7 linked regions of the Daphnia pulex genome follow. The main gene of each other region encodes a partner of the protein of the gene in region 6 in a complex. Links are inferred from orthologs where the notes say so. Each region holds a gene or a part of one and is shown on either strand. Other genes may lie near its edges.

The links.
Region 1: DNA-directed RNA polymerases I, II, and III subunit RPABC3-like (region 6) and general transcription factor IIH subunit 5-like share a complex: the UniProt entries of both Homo sapiens proteins name them as parts of the TBP-based Pol II pre-initiation complex. The link is inferred for Daphnia pulex from reciprocal best matches to the Homo sapiens genes POLR2H and GTF2H5.
Region 2: DNA-directed RNA polymerases I, II, and III subunit RPABC3-like (region 6) and general transcription factor IIF subunit 1-like share a complex: the UniProt entries of both Homo sapiens proteins name them as parts of the TBP-based Pol II pre-initiation complex. The link is inferred for Daphnia pulex from reciprocal best matches to the Homo sapiens genes POLR2H and GTF2F1.
Region 3: DNA-directed RNA polymerases I, II, and III subunit RPABC3-like (region 6) and general transcription factor IIF subunit 2-like share a complex: the UniProt entries of both Homo sapiens proteins name them as parts of the TBP-based Pol II pre-initiation complex. The link is inferred for Daphnia pulex from reciprocal best matches to the Homo sapiens genes POLR2H and GTF2F2.
Region 4: DNA-directed RNA polymerases I, II, and III subunit RPABC3-like (region 6) and transcription initiation factor IIA subunit 1-like share a complex: the UniProt entries of both Homo sapiens proteins name them as parts of the TBP-based Pol II pre-initiation complex. The link is inferred for Daphnia pulex from reciprocal best matches to the Homo sapiens genes POLR2H and GTF2A1.
Region 5: DNA-directed RNA polymerases I, II, and III subunit RPABC3-like (region 6) and RNA polymerase I-specific transcription initiation factor RRN3-like share a complex: the UniProt entries of both Homo sapiens proteins name them as parts of the pol I pre-initiation complex. The link is inferred for Daphnia pulex from reciprocal best matches to the Homo sapiens genes POLR2H and RRN3.
Region 7: DNA-directed RNA polymerases I, II, and III subunit RPABC3-like (region 6) and DNA-directed RNA polymerases I and III subunit RPAC1-like share a complex: the UniProt entries of both Homo sapiens proteins name them as parts of the pol I pre-initiation complex. The link is inferred for Daphnia pulex from reciprocal best matches to the Homo sapiens genes POLR2H and POLR1C.

What each region holds. Positions count from the first base shown.
Region 1 is NC_060021.1:7,407,973-7,410,528, reverse strand, and holds general transcription factor IIH subunit 5-like, read right to left. Parts: upstream 1,279-2,556; 5' UTR 1,270-1,278; coding exon 1,177-1,269; intron 893-1,176; coding exon 785-892; intron 715-784; coding exon 625-714; 3' UTR 597-624; downstream 1-596. Other genes in the region: septin-1-like, read right to left, coding at 14-242, 312-405, 464-596, 1,978-2,149, 2,220-2,357, 2,436-2,545. UniProt on the Homo sapiens protein: Component of the general transcription and DNA repair factor IIH (TFIIH) core complex, which is involved in general and transcription-coupled nucleotide excision repair (NER) of damaged DNA and, when complexed to CAK, in RNA transcription by RNA polymerase II.
Region 2 is NC_060018.1:350,396-354,412, reverse strand, and holds general transcription factor IIF subunit 1-like, read left to right. Parts: upstream 1-1,217; 5' UTR 1,218-1,526; coding exon 1,527-1,544; intron 1,545-1,603; coding exon 1,604-1,639; intron 1,640-1,697; coding exon 1,698-1,771; intron 1,772-1,838; coding exon 1,839-2,116; intron 2,117-2,196; coding exon 2,197-2,496; intron 2,497-2,561; coding exon 2,562-2,808; intron 2,809-2,872; coding exon 2,873-3,132; intron 3,133-3,191; coding exon 3,192-3,267; intron 3,268-3,318; coding exon 3,319-3,519; intron 3,520-3,581; coding exon 3,582-3,789; 3' UTR 3,790-3,949; downstream 3,950-4,017. Other genes in the region: regulator of microtubule dynamics protein 1-like, read right to left, coding at 39-176, 238-545, 605-753, 815-1,044, 1,108-1,190. UniProt on the Homo sapiens protein: TFIIF is a general transcription initiation factor that binds to RNA polymerase II and helps to recruit it to the initiation complex in collaboration with TFIIB. It promotes transcription elongation.
Region 3 is NC_060025.1:406,076-409,484, reverse strand, and holds general transcription factor IIF subunit 2-like, read right to left. Parts: upstream 2,067-3,409; 5' UTR 1,913-2,066; coding exon 1,719-1,912; intron 1,650-1,718; coding exon 1,498-1,649; intron 1,372-1,497; coding exon 1,285-1,371; intron 1,221-1,284; coding exon 1,096-1,220; intron 1,036-1,095; coding exon 892-1,035; intron 833-891; coding exon 716-832; 3' UTR 501-715; downstream 1-500. UniProt on the Homo sapiens protein: TFIIF is a general transcription initiation factor that binds to RNA polymerase II and helps to recruit it to the initiation complex in collaboration with TFIIB.
Region 4 is NC_060018.1:12,590,407-12,594,187, reverse strand, and holds transcription initiation factor IIA subunit 1-like, read right to left. Parts: upstream 2,499-3,781; 5' UTR 2,376-2,498; coding exon 2,352-2,375; intron 2,208-2,351; coding exon 2,018-2,207; intron 1,975-2,017; coding exon 1,876-1,974; intron 1,805-1,875; coding exon 1,604-1,804; intron 1,532-1,603; coding exon 1,410-1,531; intron 1,331-1,409; coding exon 1,061-1,330; intron 991-1,060; coding exon 883-990; 3' UTR 501-882; downstream 1-500. Other genes in the region: serine/threonine-protein phosphatase 2A regulatory subunit B'' subunit gamma-like, read left to right, coding at 2,664-2,798, 2,854-2,958, 3,022-3,131, 3,192-3,360, 3,430-3,618, 3,681-3,781. UniProt on the Homo sapiens protein: TFIIA is a component of the transcription machinery of RNA polymerase II and plays an important role in transcriptional activation. TFIIA in a complex with TBP mediates transcriptional activity.
Region 5 is NC_060026.1:14,530,097-14,534,057, reverse strand, and holds the start of RNA polymerase I-specific transcription initiation factor RRN3-like, read left to right. Parts: upstream 1-1,161; 5' UTR 1,162-1,383; coding exon 1,384-1,608; intron 1,609-1,678; coding exon 1,679-1,968; intron 1,969-2,028; coding exon 2,029-2,181; intron 2,182-2,238; coding exon 2,239-2,652; intron 2,653-2,716; coding exon 2,717-2,898; intron 2,899-2,958; coding exon 2,959-3,077; intron 3,078-3,135; coding exon 3,136-3,393; 3' UTR 3,394-3,961. Other genes in the region: uncharacterized protein LOC124203933, read right to left, coding at 23-114, 184-349, 411-637, 697-777. UniProt on the Homo sapiens protein: Required for efficient transcription initiation by RNA polymerase I (Pol I). Required for the formation of the competent pre-initiation complex (PIC).
Region 6 is NC_060023.1:10,147,956-10,150,973, reverse strand, and holds the end of DNA-directed RNA polymerases I, II, and III subunit RPABC3-like, read right to left. Parts: coding exon 2,923-3,018; intron 709-2,922; coding exon 591-708; 3' UTR 501-590; downstream 1-500. Other genes in the region: electron transfer flavoprotein subunit beta-like, read left to right, coding at 1-65, 136-306. UniProt on the Homo sapiens protein: DNA-dependent RNA polymerase catalyzes the transcription of DNA into RNA using the four ribonucleoside triphosphates as substrates.
Region 7 is NC_060020.1:1,790,205-1,794,501, forward strand, and holds DNA-directed RNA polymerases I and III subunit RPAC1-like, read right to left. Parts: upstream 2,801-4,297; 5' UTR 2,737-2,800; coding exon 2,644-2,736; intron 2,579-2,643; coding exon 2,507-2,578; intron 2,436-2,506; coding exon 2,195-2,435; intron 2,115-2,194; coding exon 1,995-2,114; intron 1,937-1,994; coding exon 1,754-1,936; intron 1,674-1,753; coding exon 1,557-1,673; intron 1,487-1,556; coding exon 1,364-1,486; intron 1,299-1,363; coding exon 1,186-1,298; 3' UTR 1,181-1,185; exon of another isoform or gene 1,152-1,180; intron 1,103-1,151; 3' UTR 268-1,102; downstream 1-267. Other genes in the region: sodium/potassium/calcium exchanger 1-like, read right to left, coding at 30-140; uncharacterized protein LOC124192222, read right to left, coding at 3,326-3,492, 3,558-3,793, 3,855-3,946, 4,140-4,297. UniProt on the Homo sapiens protein: DNA-dependent RNA polymerase catalyzes the transcription of DNA into RNA using the four ribonucleoside triphosphates as substrates.

The sequences.
Region 1 (2,556 bases), on a different chromosome or scaffold from region 6:
CAATGGAATATTATTAGGCGGTCCACTTCAAGCAACGCGTGTCTTGATGAGTACCTAAGCATTTGACGCTACAGTACCTTGCGCCACAAGATAAACAGGTGTAACTACAAGTAAATCCACAAACAGCACAAAAATGACGTTCGGGAAACTTAGATGGTGGAACTTGAGCTGAAACATAATTTGGGGGCTCTGGGCGATTAACCTGTTCTTCCTCCAACAGCTGTGCAAAGGATTTTCGAAACCTGTAAAAGAGGAGAAATTACTTCAATAGAATTACACTTCGTTTCAGCAATTAATATTAAACAAAATACCGTTGTTTGAAAATTTCGAAATTTTTAGATTTCCTTCTTCTTGTTTGTTTACCATCAAGAGACTCTTCAAACTTGGGGATCTTTTTGCTTAGTACTGCATAAATATCCAGAATTAATGAAAGATCTGAAAACTAGCCAACTTACAAAAATACCTAAATTGGCATGAGGGTCATCATGAAAATTATCTTGCTCAAGTGCTTCCAATGCTTTCCTTGCTCTTCTCCTACGAGCTGCCTCATCCAAAACCCTTCTGGAATTGGCATCCTTCTGACGGGCTGACTCTCTCTGAGATGAATTCATGATGATAGATAATTTACTCGATTTCTCTTTCTGCCAAAGGAAAACTGATCCTGTCCATCAAATCATCAATTCTAGACTGCAAAACTTCCAGATATTCAGGTGCCTAACAGAGAAAATGTCAAAAAGATAAAAATACAAAATATGAGAAAATAGAAGTATTTTTTAAATTTTACAATGAAAACGTGAGTTTCATCCAAATCTTGAACTATGAATTTGTTGCCTAGAGCATGTGTCTCGTCTAAATGAAGAAGCAATTGTTTCATAGCAGCATCACATTCAACCTTTGGGTAATAATACAAATTCAAGTATAAATTTAACAATTAAGCACCATGTAAAGAAAAGGTAAACCATTATAAGTTGCCACCTGAGATACTTATTAATTTCTAAATCTATGACTATTTCCACGGGATAGTCCGATCGAATATTTTGTGCTTTCTTTCTGACAAGAAACTTTTACCAGCACAGTCAATTTCACTAGTGATTGAAGTAAGTTAAAATACCATACTTCAAATACAAAGATATAATAAATCAAGTGGCATTTATAAGTTTTACCGTAAATTATTACCAGAATTCCTTTAGTTACGTTTACCATCTTGCCCCATTGGTAAAAAGTAAGTAAGTAACTGATCGTCTGATCACCATTTTGGATTTTTGGCATCTTCTTTCAGCACTTCCAGCTTTTGATTGGCGTCGGTAGGTGGCGTCTTAAATTGAGCGGGAAAGGAGTTTGTTGGCGCATTATATAAAAATTTACAAGACTTCCATTCATAAAGGTTTGGTTTCACTTCAAGAAAACTAAGAAAAATTAAATCTTTTAATGGGAAAAAGGAAGCAAGAGTCTGAAAAAATTGTATATTGAAATACTGCGACCAGTACCGAGAGTCCGAGACACTAAAAAGAAAATGATTGGGTAGGATATTCGAGGCGCATCTGGGCTTTAATTGCCCTACATGGAAGAAAAATTCGAATGTACGCAAATGAGGAAAATTACTAGTGAAGTGACCAAATAATGAAGCACAGCGAATTTGTTAAATGTTGGCACTTGAATGGGATTTTATCGAGGAAACCTAAGATCTTCACATTGGAAGGTAAGAGTGCCAAGGGTGTTGAAACAGCAATCAAAGCTGAATAAACAGTCAAAACAGTAGAGAAGAATTCCTTTTGGTTTAAGTGACAACTGAAAATTGCTGTTAAAGACGACGCACAGTGCTATTGAGGTTGTTGTTGTTGCATTTGTGCTTGCATTTGAGCCAACATCTGTTGCATACGTCGTAGCTCCGCCTCTTTTTCCTGTGAGAACAAAACAATGATGCAAACGGTCGAAACACTATTTCCATTGTCTATTAATAACACAATAGTTACTAACCTGAAGTATTTTTTCTTTCTCACTAATCTGCTCCGGAGCAGCCGATGGCGCGGTGGAATTAGTTGGCCCAGCGGTTTTTCGATTCGAAGCTACACCTTTAGCAAGACGTTCTGATCGGTAGTTCTCATAGTGAACATCTTGTGTTACTTCCTGTAAATCTTGTAGCTGTTGACTAAATAATGAAAGAATTAAACGTTAGTGCAATGCAAGATTTTCGATCTTTGACGAGTCAAACAAGTTACATCAGCATCGTTCGGAGTTTAATGAAATCGCAGTGTTCAGGATTTTCAACTTCAACGACACCCCATGGATACTGCCGTCCGCGGACCTTTCGGCCCTTAACTTCAATCAACGTATTGGCCCCACATACAGCAAAAGGTCTGAATAAATGAATTATATTATTATTATTATTATGAATGAATTATAATTGTTATTAGTCTGAATGAATTATTACATACACTGCGTCTTTAAGCTGACGAACTTGCTCTTTGTAGTCTTCGTCTTCATCCGAATCGCAATCGGGAAGTGGGTAAATACGAATTCCGTTTGCCTCAATTTCTTCCATGACCTAATAATTTT
Region 2 (4,017 bases), on a different chromosome or scaffold from region 6:
AATTATTTAGAAAAATGAAAAATTAAACCAAGCCGTACCTGTAAAAATTCGGCTCAACTTCTTCCGCTCTTAGGAAATACTGCAGTGCCTCTTCGTAAGAAGATACGGGCGGTGTAGCAAACAAGGTTGAGGCAATTTGCCTCTGAAGCCACGGCAATTCAGCAACAGAAAAGCACCTAAAGTTGCACGAAAATGTGTTACGTTACATACAAAAGAAAAGTTGTTATCTTGTCATACCAGTAGCCTAGCAAATGAAATGAAGTTGCATCCTTTGGGTTGAGTTCACACGCTCTTTCTATGTGTTTCTTGACGACAAACGATTGAGAAATGCGCTCCTTTAAGCCCTCGTAGGACGCCTTTTTATCTAACAAAATAAACATCCACTTGTGAGCAGCAAAGTTTTCCGGATCAATGAGCAGCGCCCCTTCAACATAACCGTATGCTTCAAAATCTAATTCTTTTTGTTCAATTGGACTGGACGATAATTTCGCTACTTCATACGTCGCTCGTGCCAGTCGCCAAAGAATTTCGGCATTATCTTCGGCCTAAAAAAAGTTTTTCCAACATTAAAACAGAGACTGACAAATCAGTTTATTCTTATTACCTTGTAGGGCAACAGAAGACTTCTCAATTTGGTGTAGGAATGCTCATTGTACAAGACATCAGCTTCAGAAATAAGATTGGTCTTATTTTCTCTTTCTTCATCAACTTTTACACTAGCAGAGACTGCAGGTAACAAACCCAGCATCCATCCTGCAGATTAACAAGTTATTGATTGTTTTTGTTACATGAATTCAAAAATTAGGCAACTTACCAATGTTTCTTGAAACTAGAGCTGGTTTCTTAGGAACAACATTCAGGAATCTTTTCCTGTACACAACAAATGCATGGTAAACTATTCCATATATTTTTCTCCCAGAGAACGATAACACCATGACGAACGCTTTCCACAACAGAAAGAAAATAAATGACGAAAAACGAATTAGGCAGTTGAGAATAGATAGGTAATCTAATTCCATGGCGACCAAAATTGGAACTAACGAACTTCAATAGTTGAAAAATGAATAATCATTTACTTTACTTGTAATATTACTTAACAATTTAGACCTCTTTATAAAAAAACTTTTTGATTGGCCATTTTTGGATATTTTAATAAGGTAAGTGAGAAATAGCCTTTCACAATTTATCATGTGGTTCAAGGCGGGAAGTCGACAGTGCAGTCTCGACGTGAAAAGAAAAGAACTGAAGCAGACGAAAACTGAACTGGGTCGTCGTCGACTATTTTTCTTCAGTATCGGGTCGGGTATAAAATTCGTTGGCGCTGTTTAAAGTGTCCCAATATTTTTTGGCATAGAAATTTCGATCACCACCCCTTAATTTTGGCCTATAATTTAGTAACGTGCATAGTTGGGTTAGTTATTTACCATTCGTGACGAACTTGTGACGAACACATCGGTGGTGTGTCTCGATCATTGTGTCGCCGGTGAGAAGTTGTTTTGTCAATCGTTTTTCACCGTCACATCATAATGTCTGCTGTTAACAAGGTACAATTTTTTTGTCTTCTCAATCAGTTAATTCAATATTAATACATGTGTTTCTCAAGACTCCTACTGGTGGATCAACTCCTGCTGCTACCAGGGTAAAGACATTTTGGTTTTTAATTAATTAGTTCAACATAATAATATGTGTTACATTAGACTCCAGCTGCTGGTGGATCAGCTCCTGCCGCTGCTGCTTCTAATGTTCAGACTATTGACATTCGAGTCCCCAAGTAAGAATATCAGACATTACCATCTAGATTTTTGCCTTCTTAAACCGAGTTTATAATGTTGTCACAGGAACATAAACAAAAAGCTTGCCATCATGAGATTCAATGGCTCAATGGGTATTGACTTTGTACAATGGAAAGATCCAAAAATGGAAAGGGAAAACAACCAAGTCACATTCAAAGGGTTCAATGAAGATATGCCAAAGTTTGGTGCTGGGAGTGAATATGGCAGAGAGGCTCGTGAGGAAGCTAGACGGAAGAAGTATGGCATAATAAGCAAAAAGTATAATCCTGAAAACCAGCCTTGGATTTTACAACATGGGGGAAAAAGTGGGAAAAAGTTCAGAGGTATACTAAAGTTGGAAACCAAGCTAAGATAGCAATAAGAAAGTTTAGTAATGTGCAATTATATTTATTTTATTAAACAGGAGTAAGAGATGGTGGCATTAATGAAAATGCATCGTACTACGTTTTTACGCAAGCACCAGATGGTGTGTTTGATGCCTTTCCTGTGCAAGAACAATACAGTTTTCAAGCAGTTCAAAATTACAAACCACTGAGTATTGAAGAAGCAGAGGAAGGGTACAACATGAGGAACAAAACATACAACATGTTCAATGTCATGATGAGAAAGAGACTAAGGAAAGACGATGAAGACGCCGAAGAAGAGGGCGAGGAAGAAGGTGAAGGCAAAGGAAAGAAAGGCAAGAAAAAGAAGGGAGCTAAAGGTAGGCAACAAGCAAAAGTTCCACCATAAATAATGTCACAAAATTATAACAACTTTTGCATTCAGATTCTCGTTTTGGTGATGAATTGGACGATATGATGGCATCTTCCGATGACGATTCTAGCGACGGCAATGATGATAACGACGACGATGATGGAGAAAGTAAGAAAAAGAAGAAGAAAGGCAAGAAACCTGTTAAGCCGAAGAAGAAGCGAAAGAATGCGTCCGATGATGAAGCTATCGAAGATAGCGATGATGGTGATGGTGAAGGCAGAGAGTTGGATTACATTTCCTCTTCCGACGATGACGAAAGGTATGTCATTAATCTTGATGCATTTGTCGATTTTCTAACACACCCGCGTTGTTCTTTAATCTAGTGATTTCGAGAAAGAAGAAGCAAAGGACGGACTAAAGGGTGTTGCCGAAGAGGATGCTCTCCGCAAGTTGCTTAACTCGGACGAAGAAGATGAAGACGAAGAAAAGGAGGAAGAAGAAGACAAAGACAAAGAAGAGGAAGATGCTGAAGGTGCCGAAGACCAGCAAGGTGATAAGGCTTCCAAAGACGAAAAAGGCGACAAAAAGAAGAAGAAAGAAAAAAAGAAGAACAAGGATAAAAAGCCCCGCAACGAGGATTATGGTAATATCCATTTAAAAACATCGTGTGTTTGAGTCAAATAATAACGAAACATTTATCAGGATCGTCAAGCGACAGCGGTGCCGAGAGCTCAGCATCCGAACTGGAGAAAGCTAAACCGAGCCCAAAAATGAAACCGTAAGTGCAGTAATTTGGTTTCCTGACAGTTAACTGACAAACTATTTCTAGGGGGAGTGCCAACAGTTCTAGATCAGCTACTCCGACGAAACCTGAAACATCGCCGCCTAAAACAACGCTATCAGATAGCAAGCGAAAGGGAACACCTGCAGTGTCCGATGCTCTTACTGGCCAAGCAACAAAGAAACCTCGATTGGACATGGCATCCGCTGCTTCAGCTGCCTCTGCCGCTTCAGCTGCATCATCATCTAGGTATTTATAAATAATGAACTAAAATTAATCCTGAAACGTTATGTATATTTTTTCTTTTACAGTGCCAATGAAGGAGTCAATGAAGAGTCTGTTAGACGTTATTTATCCCGCAAGCCAATGACAACGACCGAATTGCTTCAGAAGTTCAAAAGCAAGAAAACTGGTTTGTCGTCGGACCAGCTTGTCCATCACATTGCACAAATTTTGAAGAAGATCAACCCCGTGAAGCAGACAATTAAAGGGAAGATGTATTTGTCGATTAAGGCTTAGCGACAATAACGATGATTGGTGTGTTCTGTTTGTGCTGCAATCACTATTGCTACTTTACTGAAATTATCTCAGGCCTTCCCTTTACGGTTTATAAAAACGGACTAGAACGGTTGTTAAAATGCGTGATTTTCGGAACGATTAAACAAATTTGCAGTTGTAAGTTTTGGTATTATTTCAACAAGTTATCTGTTATTGGAAACACTTCACATTTTTAGATGAAAAACAGCC
Region 3 (3,409 bases), on a different chromosome or scaffold from region 6:
TGATGTTGAAATGCTAATTCTTATTCTGTTGTTGTACAGGAACCCTCACATCGCTACCTGAAGTTGCAGATTTCCTGGTGAAATAATTCTGTTTGGTGTATTTTATAGTATCTATATTGACAAATAAACAATTTTTAAAATTACATTCTGGCAAATTGTAACTAGTGAAAATTAAAACAAATTAATTTGTAGATAACTATATTCAGCGTTAAATTGTTGGTTGAATCATGGTTGGATGATGAATCTCATCAAGAGACAGGCTGTTGCTATTCTAATAGATTATGGCTTTTGACTGAGATAATATAATGTTAACTGTAAGTAGGGTACCATGAAAAGCTGTAAATATTAACATGTAACCTTTTACTTGATTCTTGTTTTTACAATCTTACGATTCTGTTTAAAAGGGGTTCCTCGTTAGCACATAAGCCTACTTTTCGCACTGAACTCGCTCATGAAATCATTTCTTCCTGATATGGTTGGGATAAATTATATTGGTAAAATTTTCAAGTTCGCATCGATGTATTGGACCACACACTTGTTAGCACGGGAATTTTTAGACGAAGGGAAAATTGTAGCCTAAGAGAACATTTTATCGAACAATTTCAAGGGCAGTTGAAACCCATTTGAGTTATCTGAAGTTATGTGCATCCAAGAGCTGTTTAGTAGTTTTCTGAAAATCACAGCTTTATTAGAAAGTTAATGGACTGTTTACTTATTAGTCCTTGTCTTCATCTTTGTAGTGGCGGTATTCCGGTTTCAGTTCCCACATGTTTTTGTGAGGATTCTTCAAATTGTATACACAAACATCCTTCAAAATTTCCTTGAGGTAGGTCTATAAAAGCAGAGGGTTTTAAAAGTGCAAATGCTTGTATGAAAACAACTTTTTCTTACCACAGGTTGGTTGGTGAGTTTTACCAAGTCCTTGATGTTGTAGTACTGATGCTTTTCAAAAGCTGCAAACAGCATGTCCATAACTTTGCCCTTATCATCTCTGGCTTTCTTACCCTCAGCTTTCTTCTTTTCGTCGAATTCTTTCTGTAATCAGGAATAAAAGGTTATGATGTACCAAAAATAGACGAGAATTGCTATATTTACATTATGCTTGTGGTCAGAGATGGGTTTGTAACTTTGAACCACTCGATCCAATTGCTTCACAATTCTTGTAGGTTGGGCAGCTTTAATCAAAGAATCCCTTTTGAGTTTCATGTAACTTGCATTTGCTGATGAAAATAAAAATCATTAATGCTCACTTCAAGCTTAGGAACTTTATTTTGTTGGTCTCACCTGTTGGTCTACATTCAAGCTTCTGGGCAACTTTGCCTTCAAATATGATCTTCTCAGTTTCCATAGGTGAGTTCGCGGTGGCTGGAGCTGGGGAAACAATACAAAAATGTCAATATTAAATTAGATTAATTGCAAGCACGCCACTTTAAATATCATGCTTTAAGCTCAGGCCTAAAATAAAAATCTTCCCCATAACTGTCAAGTAGTACGTACTGGTTTGTTGAGAAAATACACCCAATGTTTGTGAAGTAATGTGTGAAACAATCAATCCATGCTCTTTAGGAATAGGTTCCTCTCCTTTTTCCTGGAGACACATAATAGCTTCCGACAGAATAAGTTTGACTTGAGACTTTTGTCCTTGCACCCTGAACAAGAGTTGTAATGAGTTAATAAAGGATTTGTCGATTTGTTAACATAAACCAATTGATGCATACCTAGTAATATTCAGTTGTCCAGCTGTAATATTTCCAGGGCATTTATCCCATCGACTTGAAATGTATTTTGGTACTTTCACCAACCAAACACCCCGACTAGCTGAAGACATTTCCATTTCCCTTTCATAAACGATGACATCTTTGTCTTTCTCCTTGTCTTTCTCTTTTTCTTTCTCCTTTTTCTTTGACTCCATGGTTTTCAGTTTTAAAAATTCTGCTTCAACGTACTAGAAAAACCTATTCAAGAGAATGTAGTTCTAAATATTGGCCGGCTTTAATAAAACAAGTAATCGTTTCTTCTTTCAATCGACAACGTCACACAACTGAAAAGGTCTTCAAGTCTATCGTCTGCTATAAATCGCGCCAGAGCGCGTTCTTTTGTTTTATTAGATAAGTTTACGCAACCATCAGTTCGTCAACGCATTTTTCTTTAATAAAACCCCCCAAAAATCGAAATGGCATGGAAATTTAATGGCCTTAAAAAAAATAACTGATCAAATTTGTTGTTGCACAATCCCTTTAATAAGCTTTTAACAGGAAATAGTTTGATTGGCCAACATTTTTTCATTTAGCTTTTTACTCCTCCTCAAATGTAACCCTGATTGCATATCTCAATGCTCAAATCTCAAATTTGTTTCAGTATGAATTCCCTAATATTATTATTATTATTATTTTCTTGCCTTTCTAGATTTATAGGAATTTGCAAATCAGGACGTCTATCTGTGTAACTTTCAGACGCGGAATAATGTGGTATTTTTCATAACGCCCCGTGAGAAGTGATTCGGAATGTTTGGAATTTTAATAAGTACGAAATCACCGGAATGCCTGGCCAAGTATATAATCGCCCTCTGAAACAAAGCAGAAACTGGGAAACCTCTTTTTGTACTAGTTGGTCTGATTCGATCGGAATATGTATTACCACTTGTAACTGGATTCAAAATCAAACAATTCTACGAAATCGAGAAAGTTATAACAACTAGATTGGTACTTAAGGCGATGTCTTGTGGGGGGACAATGTCCGTCCACTAACTCCTTTTACTATAATTGAGTTCTATCACTAGTACGAATTGCTATACATGTATAACATAGATTTGTCTAAACAAGAGATGGCGAAACGGTAAAAATAAAAAGAGCACAGCAATTTGAAATTCTAAACGGGTTTCCCTTTCTCATGGTGGCCGCTGGTGGCGGAATCAAGAAGCTGACGACCAGGCCAGCACTCCACTCCGTGATCGAATATACAACATACTTGATTGCGCTTTGAAATGGACAGTGCGAGAGAATAGAAACATATATTTTAGTTTGAAAGTTGTATACACTAGTCCAAGATAATTGAAAGAAATTATCTACCGAAGAAAGAACGAATAGGCTATTTTAAATTTGATCATTTTACACTGGTGAGTATAAGCTATAGTGAGTCTAAATATTCTTGTCGAATGCAAACGAACAGAGAATAAAAGTCATAACCCAAGTTGCGGTTATCGCACTTTAAACTGCAATTTGTATTCCAATTAGTACATTCAAGGTGATTAAGAAAATGTGTGAATTAAATATTAGGCTATTAATTCGGTTATTGCGATTTATTAAAAGATATTTCATATTCAACCTATGATTCTTTCATTGTTATTTATTTCATAATAAAATCAAAGAGTAAGAAAACATTTTATGAGCTTTTATGAAAGTAAAGTTGT
Region 4 (3,781 bases), on a different chromosome or scaffold from region 6:
GATGGAAGAACGCCCCAGTCCGTCCTTGTTGAAACTTTTCCCCTCGTTTTTTTTTTAGTTTTGATAATGAGTCCAGCAGGTCGAATCCTAAGGTCCTGGCAACAGCAAAGTTCGTTTAGTTTTGTGCTGGTTGCCTTTTAACGGCTCTAGGAAACTTTTTGGCGGACGCCAACAACTCCTACCGCGCTGCTATCGTGTAGAAACTCCATTAACGTGTACCGAATCCAATAGTTGGATGAGCAATTCCCCGGTGATGACTGCAAACGGATGTAAGCTTTTGACCACTTGGTTATTTGCTTTCAAGTCCCCGTACGCTCGCCTGAATGACTTCCCATGTATACAACCTAATCTAGATTTCTTCCGACTAACATTGAAAATGTCCACCACCAACTGTATACGATTACAAGAATTTTTCGGTACCGTAATTAGTAACATTGTCCCCTGGGTCTTGGACTAGTTTTGGGTCACGTTATTAGAATCTTCTCGAAAACTAATTGCAATTCTTGGTAATTTGAACATATATTTTTCTTCTTCTTCTAAATATTCCTGAATCAAAAGGGGGCGACAACAGCTTCTGCAGCGAACAGGGAAAAGATGAGACAAAAAAAGAATTCGGAAAGTTTTGTGTGTTAACAAAAAAAGAGAAACGAAACAAAAGAAGCGAGGGAGGACAAACACGAATGGCTTTTGTTTCTTTGTCCCCAGGTATTTTTTCCTCTCCACCGCTCATCCAACACCCGACATGAAAAAAGAAATTCCGCACATGCACACGCACAGGCACACGAAAAATCCTTAAATTGAAAGCGAAATTCCTCCGGATTGTATTAAATGAAACATTATCTTGATTTTCCCCTAGTAGCGCAATTTCAACCTTGAATATTTTCACCACTCTGCATCACCGTTGGCCTTTTGAAAGACGTAATCGCGACCGTTAATGTTCATGATGCCGTCCTTGAGATGAAACTTCCACCTGTTTCGACTTCTCGTAATCTACAAATAGAAAAAAAAGTCATTTAAAACATTTCAATTCCAATTCGAATGCTAAAATTCAAATCCTTGCCTTGTCGTACTGGCACACGACGACGTTATCAGTTTCAAATAACACTGAGGGATCATCATCAGTCACATCGTCTTCAGAGTTGAGTGGCTCCTCGTCTGCGTTCTCTTCGTTGTCTGCGTCAATCTCCTCGTCGTCATGATCGTCCTCTTCTTCCACGTCGTCATCGTCATCATCTTCAACATCGTCGTCGTCGTCCGAAGAGTCTCCGGGTCCATCCAACTGTGTGACTCCTCCATTGTCAGTTCGCGATTGGCTCCGTGCAGCTGTCGACTACAAAGAAAAGTAATAATGCATTGTACACACATTATTATATACACTTTCGAGTGGATTCAATTTCAACCAATGGTACCTGCAACGCGTTATTAATGTGCTGCTGCAAGACAGTCGTGGCCATTTCAACTGGAAGAGAGAGAGCCGCCGTCACAGCCGGTGAACTCAGGATCGTTTGCAGCTGCGCTCCCGCTGCGCCACCTGTGACATTATTACAAATAGTAAAGAAATTAGATTGGAGCTAGTACGAACGAGATTCAATTGGGAAATAACCTTGAAGAGCATGAGCTGGAACGTGAACAGTGATGCTCTTGGCTGCTGTATGACCTGCTACTCCAGCCTGAGGAGGAACAGTGATTTGGACTGGCACCGTCCTTACTGTTGTCGTAGCAGGGGCTGCAGCTGCTGCTGTTGTTGCTGCACCTGTAGCTGCATTAGGGGTAGTCACTGGGGTTTGGGCTGCTGCTGCTGCTTTAGAGAAAATAAAAACAAACAAACAAAACAATTAATAATAATGCACTCAATGTAACAGTATACCCAACTACCTGGTTGCTTTGCCGTAGTGGCTGCCTGTTGAGGTGTAGAATTGTTCGCAGGAGCTGTAGAGCTAGCCTGCTGACCTGCTTTTGACGGCAAAGAAGACCCTTTTTTCATACATGATAAAGTCTCATAATCGATATTGGATACTTTGTTGCAGTTTGCTTTGGAGAGAAGTTTCAGCAGGATCGGTCACAGGGTCGATTGCTTTGCTGGACTGCAATTTGTTTTCCCAATTCTGCTTCAATTCGAGAAGTACAGCCTCATCGATTCCTTCGTCAAGAAACGCCTCTCGAACCCCGTTGATAACATCTTCAATAACGCCACGATACAGTTTCGACTACAAAAAAAGAAATATAAAAGTCCTTAATTAGACCAACGAGGAGTGAGATCGAGCTCGTGGAGTGGAATCGTCAATGCAACAACAGTTTCCAGGTACTATTCCCCATGAAATATTATCATAAAGTAAAAGGTAAATAAATACCACGAGTGCCTGATTGGCGGCCATTCTTTAACGAAATTGAATTTTATTTGATTTCAATTCCGGGAGGGCTTCGTTCAACAGGAAGCCGACATGAAAACTAAGACTGACGCGGCAATATATATCGAAATGCCCCCGATGGCAGCGCCACGAAGCGTGATTTTGGCTAAGCATAGCATCTAGCGGTCGAAAAAAACATTCTTTCTGCTAAAAGTAAAGCCGTTTGTTATCGTTTCGACACGTTTGAATCGAATGAACAAGAAACGTTTTTATTAGCGGCCTAAGTCTCAGTATTCGTTGATTTTCATCAACGAGATGGATGAAAAATCCGAGATTTTGGTTTTAAACGCCGAAGATGAAGATACCTTCCAAAAGTTGTATTCCGAAGGTCTCAAATATAGCAAGCAATGCTCGGAAGAAAGCATGCCAGTTCCAAAGTTCTATACCAAAGTAAGCATAACTTCCAATTGATTCCCTATAAATTTCTTATGTTTTTGTTACACAGCTTCCTAATCATGAAAACATGATTAGCCTTAAACTGAGAGAAGAAGCTAGAACAGCATTCCTTCAGAAGAAGAGCAAAGAACTCCTCGATAACAATGAACTGCAGGTTTGTTAATGTCATTGCCAGTGTTTGTGCTACTGGTAAATAAGATTTTCATCCTGTCTTTAGAATCTCTGGACTTTACTTGACAAAAATCACAGCCCTCCTGCTGGTTCTGAGCAGATGATCAATTATATTGATTTTCTCAAAGTAGGCAACATAGCTGGTCCAAAATATAAGTAAGACATGTAAATATTTGATTGGGAACACCAAGTTATTTTTTGAATTCCCCTATACAGAGCATTCTTTACACCAGATGTATTTGCAAGGCTATTGCAGAATGATATTCATGGCAGAATATCAACCATGGCAGTGTTCAATTACATCATGAGGAAAGTTTGGTTACAGCAAACTAGAATTGGTCTTTCATTATATGATGCCACAGGACAAGGTCTGCTTACTGAAATGGTGAACATCAGCAATATGTTTTTTGTTTTTGCAATATGTAATTTACTTATCTATTTTTGTTTTTCCCAGGATTTAGAGAACTACATAACTGAACTTATCCCAACATTGCCACAGTTAGAAGGGCTTGAAAAGTCATTCCATTCGTTTTACGTCTGTACCGCCGTACGCAAGTTCCTCTTTTTCCTAGATCCATTAAAGCTAGGCAAAGTCAGGATACAGGATATTCTCGCTTCTGGTTTTCTGGACGAACTTTTAGAGGTATTTAGTATATTCCTGATTCTTTTGTCATTCTTCTCGCTAAAAATATTATAATTCATCAGCTACGGGATGAAGAGCTGCCCAAAGATGCACAGGATTCAAACTGGTTTTCTGCGCCCTCCGCTCTGAGAGTCTACGGTCAATACTTAAATTTAGATACCAA
Region 5 (3,961 bases), on a different chromosome or scaffold from region 6:
TAAAGGGCTAACTTATGCTTACATTCCTCTCGAAACGAGTGGTGCGATTGCACGCGACACAGACAGCACTGGATTAGATGAACCCACAATTACAACAGCAATATTGTTCCCAATCTTTGAAAAAAAAACCAATAAACTTTAGTAGAAAAAATTTAGTAATGCAACTGATAATGAATTTAATACTTGAGTAACAGGACATGACTCTAGCTGATCAGCATAATAGGTCCAATAACTTGCAGCTGGAACAATTTCATGTTGGATGCAGTAGCGTAGAGGTTTGCCAAAAGTGGTTGAAAGAGCCAAACCAAGAAGTTTTTGATATTCAGGTTGACTTAATAACATCCCAAGTCTTTAGAAATAATTGGTGATTACAAATACAGAAATAACACATTTAGACAAACATATGATACTCAGTCATTTTGGCAGATGTTTCTAGCCATTGGATGTGTGACCATTTTCTTTGTCTGTCTTGCTTGAGAGCTCTCACAAATTCTTCAAAGTCACCATCAACACGTTTCATAATGGAAACATTCTTGGCCAACTCTTGATGAACAGAGCTAATCATGAGGAACTTGCCCCAATTGGTCCCTTCTCCTTGGCTAGCAGGGACACTTAAAGGTGAAGTGGCAACCCAATTCTGTCATTTAAATAAATTGATGATATGAAACTATGAAGAAATTACATCGATTGTTTTACTTTAAAATCGCGGTCGACCTCCATGCTGCTTTTTCCGTAATTAAGCGTAGCTCCTTTTACAGCTTCAAGAATGTTGACCATCTCAGGATGAGTGTTTAGCTCTAATATTTCTTCCTGTAAAAGTTCAGCAAACGAATGTTATATGGAATGTTTGAGATAATTTATGGATACACTTAAAGATAATTCGATCGTACGCTTTATTACGGAAATTACGTTGTCACTTGCCAGCTGTTTGTCTCTGTCAAAACAAGTTGAAATATCGTGCGTGAATACAGCTGTCACATCTTACCTGAGTCATTATGGCAAAACAACTTTAACCACAACTTTCGTTTTCATTTTGGCTTCGAGTTAAAAAAAAATCCTAATAATAAAATTTATAAAATGTTGCTCGTTTTCGATGTTTGGAACTATTATTTTAAATTTATAAATGTATTAAATCGTAAAGAAATTTGACAACGCTGTAGGCTAATAGTATCATCGCACTAGCAGACTGATAAAAAATCAGCGCGAGCAGTGAGAGCTACATTGATGAGACAACGTGGTCTTGGCCGTTTTTTTTCAGTTTTAGTGATTGCAAAGATCACAAGCACAGAGCTCATCACTATAGTAAAATCAGAAATCGTTAAGAGTTCGAGAACCAAGTAGTTTTATTTTTTATTATTGTATTAAGTAAAAGAAACGATAGCCATGGCGAGTACGAATTGCTCCCAGTTGACTCCCATACCACAGTCCATATTGAAACCCAGTTCGCGAATCAGTATGCAACCCAAGAAACTTTCCCAGCCTTTGCAGGTCCGATTTGACTCCTTGGTCACAATTGACGTGGTTTCAATTTTGAAGGATTATATCGAAGGGCGAAGCGAAGTGAAATATCACCAATTATTGAATCTGAAAAATGATCCTAATGTCAATGTAAGTAATTTGGGGAAAAAACTGGACGTAGGATTACAAGATTACGAACTAAGAATTTTTTTATTTTTAGGATGGATTTTTACTCCTGATTCTTCAACAAGTAAACAGCTCTATCAGTCTGCTGACTCCAAAAGTTGATTCCTTTGTTGATGCATTGCTGCATATTTCATGGACAACAAGACAGCCCCCAGTACTTGATGAATATTTGACATTTCTCCAAACACTAGTTTCAGCACACACATTCTACTGTAGATCAGTAGTCAAAATGCTAGTCTCACATCTGACACTTAATTCAGACTGTGAAAAATCTACATCGAATGTGCATCTAGTTTTGAGGGGAATTTTGCAGCTGATACCATTGTAAGAGCCCTGTAATTATTTGTTTCCAGGATCAAGAAAATAATGTTTTTGTATTGACAGGTCTCAAAGTATTATTTGGGATTCTTTAAATAATGGTTTTCCCTACATTGGATCAAGCAGTTGCAATCAAGTAAACTACATCAGAAATCTTCTACATTTTGTTGAATACCATGAAATGTCTGGACCCCGTGTTTTACATCTCATCATTGGAAGGTATGTCAGTCTTTAATTCATTTATTTTAATTAACTAATTGAATAATTTTTGTATAGAATCATTAAATTGGACAGCAGAGTTTCAAGAGAGGACTTGCTACAAAAATTCAATCAGCCTATGGAGTTTGATGAGGATACAGTCTTGAATCAAGCTTCTGAAACGTTAGACGAAATCATGAAAGTTATGTTTGAGTTGTGTCATCGCAAATGTCATAGCGAATGGATTGTTCATCGGAATTTTTATCAGGACATGTACGCTACGTTCGAATCTTTGATACTACCGGCCGCCGGTATCCATCATGTCCATTACTTGATGTTCTACATATGTAGTACCAAAACTGCTCTCTATGAAGCTTTTACTGAGCGCTTGTGGGTCATTTTTCTTACCCCTTCATCTCAGTTGAATATTCGAAAATCGTGTGCCGATTACCTTGCTTCGTTTTTGGGGAGAGCCTCTTTTGTACCCATGAAGTACGTTCACATTTGTGATAATAAGACCAATCAAACCAAACATTAACTCGTGATTTCTCTAAAGGTACGTCATTGACTGTCTGGATCGAGTGTGTCAGTGGATTCACGCATACCTCGATCGGCAATCAAAGGGTGAGGGAGCAGCTGTTTTTAAAATCCGAGCCCATGCAGCATTCTATGCCGCTTGTCATATTCCCTTCTACGTTTTGGCTGCTAGGCATCGAGATATTGTCAACGACAGAAAGCGTACGATGATCGTTCTTTCTTATTGTTGGAATTCAATTAACCTTTTGATCATTTTTGCAGTTCTCGCCCGATTGCAAGCCCTGGATTTGAACCGAATTGTCAACTCACCTTTGAACCCACTACGCTATTGTCACGCTACAACTGTCAGACAATTCGCAGAATCCGCTTCACATCTGCAGGTTGTACCACTATCAATCAAGTTGATTTGTAACGTAATTAACCGAAATTCTCGTTTAGATTGTATTCTGTCACACCATCATGATTCGTAATCAGAGGGTTTGTATACCTGAAGCTACAACTGACACATTTGTCATGGATACAGAATATCCATTCGAGAAATACCTCTTGCCCTCATCGATGGACTTTGTGTCACCTCTTGTTATTGACAAACCTATCGGTCGTGACGATTCACTCTACGACAGCGATCAGGTTATGGAGGAGCTTTTGTCTGAATCACCAAGAGTTGGCGGCTTTATGCACCACTTCATGGGTTGATTTCATCGATATTGTCGTTGGTAAAATCTAAAATTTACCCCATTTTCCCTGTTTCTTTATTTTCTGCAATTCTCTACATCTTTATTACCATATGACCGTCTTTTCCCATTCGTGTCGGTTAAATTATGTATATTAACGTGGTATATATTCACTCGATCGTGCCTATTTGTTGGAAGACCGTTGAAATTAACATTTTTTCCTTTTGGGTCTTGGTCTACGGATTAATCATCCGTTACGCTATTCACAACTTCGGGAGCTGATCACTGCTGCGGTTTTTCTTCGTAAGAACATTATTTTTCCTTTTTCTATACTCGATCGTATTGGGCGGCTTGGGACGTACGTTGAAATTCTCCTTTGATTCGTGGGCTTGTTAAATTTCTTTTTGTCTACTCTCCCGATTACCGCAATGTTATTTGCTCTCCCCTTCGATTTCGCCGTTTCCTATTCAACTTACAAAGATGTTGTCGCCAGCGTGTAATGAAAATTAAAGTTTTCGTGTAATTCATTTGAAAAAAAAAATTGCCACTTAAAAACCAGTTCCCTTTAGTGAGAATAAAATTCAAGTGAA
Region 6 (3,018 bases):
CAACTGTCGTCAGCGCCGACTTGCGTCTGAATGAGCCTCGCTACGCAACTCTCCCCAACATCATGGTACTTTTTTTAATATACGCACAAATGCCCTCGATTTTTCACTCAAGTTTTTTATTTCTTTTCTTTTTAGAAAGCCAAGAAGAAGCCCATTAAGAAACTGACGCCTAAGGATTTAGGCGTCGACGTCAGCCCAAGAATTGAAGTAGTCACGGTCGAGGAACCACCCGTGCGGCTTGCAGGTGCCAAGGTCGAGAACGTCGACATGATGGTGGAAAAACTCAAAGCCCTCGGCCATGCTTAATTTGCAGGGGGGGATTGCAATGAGCATTGAAGAAAACCTGGACTTGCCCTTCTGGTTTCTGCCCATTTGTAGTTTGGCTTTTATCAATGCAAAAATCAAGTTGAAAAGATTACGCTATTACGGAAAAGAATACAAGAACTTATTATACTTACAACAATTCGTTTACTAATAAAATAAAGTCGAAACATTATTAGTTACAAAAAAATGCAAGTGTATTCAAAGAAATAATGAAGTACATTCATTCGTATCCCAAACTTGTAATTTATAAGTTTGCATACCACTTTTTAAAACGCAAGTTTCTTAATCAACAGGTAGATTTGTTGATCGACTTCGAATCCGTGAAGATTGTTGGCATCTCCCTGCAAACGCATCAGCAATCCTCCGTACGACGCATAGGCAGATCTGCACGAATCAATAAAGAAAATCATTACCGAACACTACCCATCATCTAAAAAAGAAAACAATCAAGATACACAAAAACATACAATTAAGGGCACACATGATCATTAGTAGTTTGGTCGAATATCGTGTCATCGACAGTGGACAGTTTGGATAGTGGCTGTGGATTCAAGTAAATATTTCACAACCAGCTAACCACACTGCCAACCATCAATACACTTATTGCCCAAACAATTTGTACTTGCATCAAGACACTTGTGGCTCAATGAGAAGCGAAGACTCGACTGTGACATGGAGACATTTGCAAAGTCCTTTTATAACGAGAAAGATGGGCACACACCACAACATGTCGACGAGAAAAAATCGTACGATAGGCGTTATTAAACGTCGTCGACCAATTAATATCCATAGGGAATTGCTTCGACGGTTCGACGAAAAACATCGACCCCCCCCACCCTTCCATTCTCAAATTAAAAAAGATGTTCGAAGAAAAAGAAATCGTCGTCATTTCGTCAACTAAACCAAGACGAACGTATCTAACCAATACAAGCTTTTTTCCTTTTCTTTTAAAACAAAATCATGTCTTCCTCTTCTCCGTCCTGGAAAAACTTGATTCCTTCTTTTTTAACAACCGCCCTTGGGGTATACCTGTTACGTTTTCAGGTCAAACAAAGTTATTAATCACGCATCATTAACGTCTTTTCACGACCAAAGCCACGAATTAAAACGGTGGCTGCCTCTAGATTTACGAGCTGATCGATAGGGGGAAGAAACTGTTGCTTTTTTAGGTGTCTAATGCGGTCGTATAAAACAACCGACATCCTACCGAACAACCTTTGCCACTCCCGAGTTTAAACCTATATCACCTCGCGTGATTTATTTATATAACCCCCGCGTTGTGCGATTCTCGATTTTTTCTTTAAACCAAGTGAAATTTGTGTTCTCAATTTATTTAATAGAAAAATACGAGCAATAACAAAAAACATCAGAAAAAGGGGGGCAAAGAAATATGATGATGGCTGAAAAGAGTGACGATACCAGAAGAATGCATTTACCTCGTTTACGAAATAATTAAAGGCAAACGCACTTGTGGTACGGACTCCAGACAGAAAATGGACTGGGTCTCAAAAACATCACATCATCAATCAATCAATCAATTAATTAATCAACGATGCATGCAATACGAAACACACACACACACAAAATCGACACACACACACATATGATGAAACAACAACCAATAAAAATTAAAAACTAAAAAACTAATAAATTATAACGATAATTTTTCTTCTTTTTCTCAGCGCAGCTTTTTTTTCTCAACGAGGGGCCCCCGCTCTCGATTTCTTAGCCACACCGTCCGGGTCAGAGGTCGAATTCCAAATGGTCCTAACATTCTACCACCCACTTGGCTTTTATATAGTCGGTGGTGGGCCAGGCCTACCGGAGTAGGCCGAGGCTTCTCCACAAATACAAATGGCCAAAAGTAGTAGCTGACGTCAATTCGCCTCTGGCAATTCCTCATCTTTTTCTAAAGAGCTATATCAATCGCTATGGTTCACCATTTAAAATGATTGGCCCCCTGTCAATCACGTAGTACGTTTCTAGTTGTCGTGTAAACGCGAGTGGTTTTAGGAATAATTCGCAGAAGTCCTGGGTCAAAGACCGATTCGTGGAATTGAAAAATAAAAGGCTAAAAACTAAGTCGGTGCAAGCTTTCTCCTATTATTGGAATATTTATGTTTTCTGGAAAATGGGAGGGGAGTCGGACAAAGTTTCGCCATTTCACTGGAAGAGCCGACAACGCATTTTTATTCCGCCTCATGGGGAAAGAATGTCGGTCACAAGTCCACCAAAAAACTTAGAAAGTGATACAAAAAGATTGAGATTGAATCAAAATGTACAGTTTCGTTCGGATTTTTTAACCGTAATGGCTGCCCCCGGTAACCATCGGAAAGAAAACGCAACGAAATAAAAAAAAAGAGAAAAGTTCGCGCAACAACTCTCTTATTTAGAACGACAACAACAACAACAACACAAGTCGATTTGTTCCAATATCACAAGGACTGAGATACCACCAGCTGTGTTCACCTGGAAAATTCCAACAACAGGCGAACGCAGGGTGGTTCCCCGTCCCGGTGTGGAAATTTTCTCTCCCACATCAATCAAAATTACGTTCAAATGAAGGGAATATTTAAGAAAAAGAAATATGAAACTCACAATCGAGATGACGGCTCGGTCGATCCTTCATCGCCTTCAATGCGATAGACTTTGCCGAACATGACGTACTCGAACGAATCGGCACGGGACGGGATG
Region 7 (4,297 bases), on a different chromosome or scaffold from region 6:
TTCAACCGCCCCAATAATGGGAGACTTACCGGCATATAGTTGCTACGCAGGGATGACGTGTAGGCCGACGATGATGAACCGCCATAGGAGCTACCGTAGGAGCCACCATATCCTCGTTGACTGGAGTAGTAGCCTGCCATTGCGTAATCGTCTTCTCCGGATCCGAAGAATGAAAATAGGAAACGATAGGGGTTCAAAACCGAAATAAAAATGAATAGACAATCATAGGCATAAATTTATATGAGGCATTCTCTTACCCAATTTCTGTTGTCCAGCCAAGTCCAAATGAGAAAAAAGATCTCCCTAATTAACAACTTCACGATCGGCCCAGATGGGGGAAAGGGGTCTTTTGATTGAGGGAGACGGTTTTTCTTTCGTCCGGCCACCAAGCAGAGTGCGTCGTCGACTGTACTTGTAGTGAACGTGGAGATGGAAAGCGACCCGAGTGCTCTACGTCCGAAACAAAACTCTTCCACAAGCTCGCAAGCTTCCACAAGCTTCCACGAGCACTAAATTTAGATGCCACGGTCAATGAGAAATAGACTTAAGAGAAAGAGAGAAAAGAAAATAGGAAGAAGAAGAAGGGAAAGAGAAAGGGAGAGGAGATAAAAAACAAAACAGAATACACTTCTTGTTCTTCTTCCCATTTCCTTCATCTCATCTGCCTAGACTTTCTTGGCACCACCTACGCATATTCCACAATGGGCTAAAACGAATTGGCGGTGTAAACAAAATGTGAGAAGGAAGGAAGAAGAACATTAGAAGGAGGAACATCTCGGTTCACATCCAAAACAATCAAAACCTTAGGATCCAAGGTCAATAAGAGGCTACTACAGCTTATCTAGCAAGTCTAGCGCCAACGTTTCGTAAAACCAGTAGCGAAACAAACAGAAGCCATTGTTGCAGAAGGCAAATAAAAATAGCGATGGAAAGGAACATATGAAAAAGGATAGGTATCCTTCCGTAAAACCAGGAAGAATTAGTTGCTCGCCTCCACCCCTCAAATTTTTTAAATAAGTCTTCCCTTCCTTCCGTTTGAAAAGCTCCGGTTTCGGTTTCTAAATGCAGTTCTGGGTCACTCGGCTGGAATCCTGGGTGATAACTATATCAACGGCACAAACGCCTCCAGGTGAACTAATAATGCGTAATCGTCATGAATCAACGCGTCTATTTAGGATACCATTCCTACAGTCCATTCTTCAATTCATCCAAAAATACACGGCATTTTTGTGACAGGATCTTGGCGGCTTCAGTGAAGAGGACCTCCGGCGCCAGTGCTCCAGTAGACTCGATGTAAACTAAACACATTTTCAAATGCATCGCTAAAGTAAGGAATAAGCAAAAATCCAATAACAATACTTACAGATGAAATGGTCGCGTGCTCGGGTCAGCTTTACAGTGTCCTCTTTTAGATCTTCGTGACGGAATACGTTGCGGCTGCAGATGTCATATCGGGCATCGTTGACTTTGGCAACCTTCTTTTCACCTGAAATAGAATAAAAAGGTAGTGCTTCACACTAATTAAGCTAGAAGAAAAAATATAGTATGTAGCAAACCTGAGTCGACCAAATCAATAACCCCAGGGGAAAAGCACTTTTGTAATCTTTGGGCAGCTTCACCTTCCACTTCCTTAAGAAGTTTCACTTGTGGTAGGAGACGGTAAAATGCGGTAGCTTGAGAAAATAGAAAAATAGTTTTTGTTTAAATCTCGGTCCAAAAATTCTTAATCATAAAAAAAAACAATAAAACTAACCAACGGGTGAGAATTTTGCATGTTCTCGTCCGGTCCCTTTCATTGCGTGCAATTTGATGTCAAGTTCGTGACCAGGTCTCATTTTTGCGATTAGAATGTTATCGTCAACTGGTCCAACTGCATCAGGGGTAAAGATATCTTTTTGGCCACCCAGTGGAATCCATTTCAAATGAGATGTCAAAACTGAAAAAAGTAGGTCAGCATTCTGTCGAAAAAAAAAGGTTTGAGTTTCCCTTCTTACCTCTGAAATCCCTGTACAAGTGTTCAGGATTTGTATGATCTTTAGTCCTTTGAGGATTCCACGAACATTTCACTTTTAACTCAAATTCAAGTGTATCTTCAGGAGTCCCAGTATCATCATCTAAAATGAGAGATGGGGTAACAAAGATTCAGTTATATGAAGTAAGGTGACAAAGAAAAGAATGGGTGTTTGGAGTATACCTTCAGCTCTGAATTCAAACAATCTTGGGTCAGCTTTCAATGGTATCAGTCCCAGTCTGTGGGCCAAGACTTCATCTTGGATGATTGAGGTATTGTTGAACATGAAGACTTTGTCGAAGGCCATGGTGGGAATATCAGACAGCAAAATACGACGAAAAGCATTTGGTATGGCTGGATCAACACCAATCAAATCAAACTCCATTTCCATATTTTCCATGCGGACAATGTTAATTTTGAGCCTCTACAAAATCAGAAAAAATGGTAATGCTCTCTTTTTATCTACTTATAGTGTAGAACTTTTCTTAGAAGAACCTTTTTGAACTTTTCAAAACTCCAACTGTCGTCAAACCCATGATGATTTCCTGGGAAGTCTGTGGCTTCAGCCTAAATAGTTATTTTTATTATTAAATTTGGTTGAACTTAGGAAGATTTCTGTTATGTAGTATTACATTAAGAACTTCGAATTCTGTCAGCACGAGTTCATTCCTACTTTCATCAATGTATTCCTTGCTTGATGAATATTTAACTTTACTTTTACTCATTTTTCCGTTGAGCTTTAACACGTGTCTGGACGAGGGAAAAATTGGCAAATAATGACTATTGTGAAAAGTGTCGTCTGCTTTTATTTATTTTTAAAATTTACTGCAAGATGTCGCCACCGTCTCGCCACCGTCTCTCAGTTTAATTCAGTTCAAATCGAAACCGCTTTTCTAGAAAACAAACGGACATATATTATAGGGTAAAGGTAAATAATAAGAAATTAAATATTATTTTGATAGCCAATAAACACCCTCCTCTCAAAAAAAGAAAATCCTATTTCCAATAGTATTTCAAGGAATTTGTTGAGTTTTTATATTTCTATTTTTTCTGAGGCAAATAACACATACACGTTAGACACAGTAACTGTACACGATATAAACAGTTAGCTTGGATGTTAGCGCGATACTTACGGTATAAGCTGAAGTATATTCGGCGTATCAAACAGTCCGAACTAAACTAATACGTCAGCATTTTACAGACATGTAATGTATGGGTAAATTATTTCTTTCGGAGGAGAGAGAATAAATGGGGCATTTATCCTGAGACTGAACCATCTATGAAAAAAAAAATGTATTCGTCTTTGTCATTTATTTAATTTTTTGTCTTATTCTTTGAAAGAATGTATTTGGACATGACAGCAATTCGTGAATTGATTTTGCTGTTATCGTCGCTTGAAGCTGAAGCCCTTGGTGTTCTACGTCTCGAATACGACTCCGGTTCTGCTGTTGCCTGCGGGATCGGTCCTCGATCAGATTTTCCTGTAATTAAGAAGTTCATTTGCAGGTAACAAAAAAAATTACAATTGGTAGAGGATGTGGTTTACCTGCTGCGTCTTTTTCCAAATCCGAATCCTTGTTAGTGGAACGGCTAGACAAGTACATTGAGTAGCGCTTATCGTAGACGGGCGGATCGTAAGATGAAGAGTCGACCGGCTTTATCGACGACGGCCTGGCATACGAGCTGCTGTAGCTAGGACTGTAGCTATCAGAGCTGTAACTTGAGCTTCTCTTCTCGTAATCCTTATCATCGTTCAGATAGCTCGAAAAGAAACGAGACAAACTATTGATATTCATTAAATACCATCTGGTTCATTTGCGTGAAAATTTGATTTGTTCGTTACCGAGTAGAGGGTTGGGTGTTGGTCTTCGTGGCGAAGCGATTGAGCACTGACGAAGTCGCCTCACGCAATTTGCGTAAATCTTCTTCGATATCCTGAAAGTGAGCTAATGGTTTGTTAATTGATCAAACAAAAATGTAGTCAACTTATAGAATCAAAACTTAGAACCCAACGGTAATTTCTAATAATTTGAGCTTATTCTATCAGCTATAGAATAAAACTATTTTTAAGATATGCTACGCTATGCAAAATACGTGGGTGGTTCACAAAGCGCTCAAATAAATTTACCTCTAGTTTCATGACGGGTTCTCCGTTAGCATCATCATCCAAACACGAAGCGGCACTGTAGCGCGCCCTGGTCGTGGTACCGGTAGTCTTGACGGGTGCAATGTCGTCATCACTATCCAAGTACGACGCACGAGTGTGGCGCGAACGAACCGGGATTT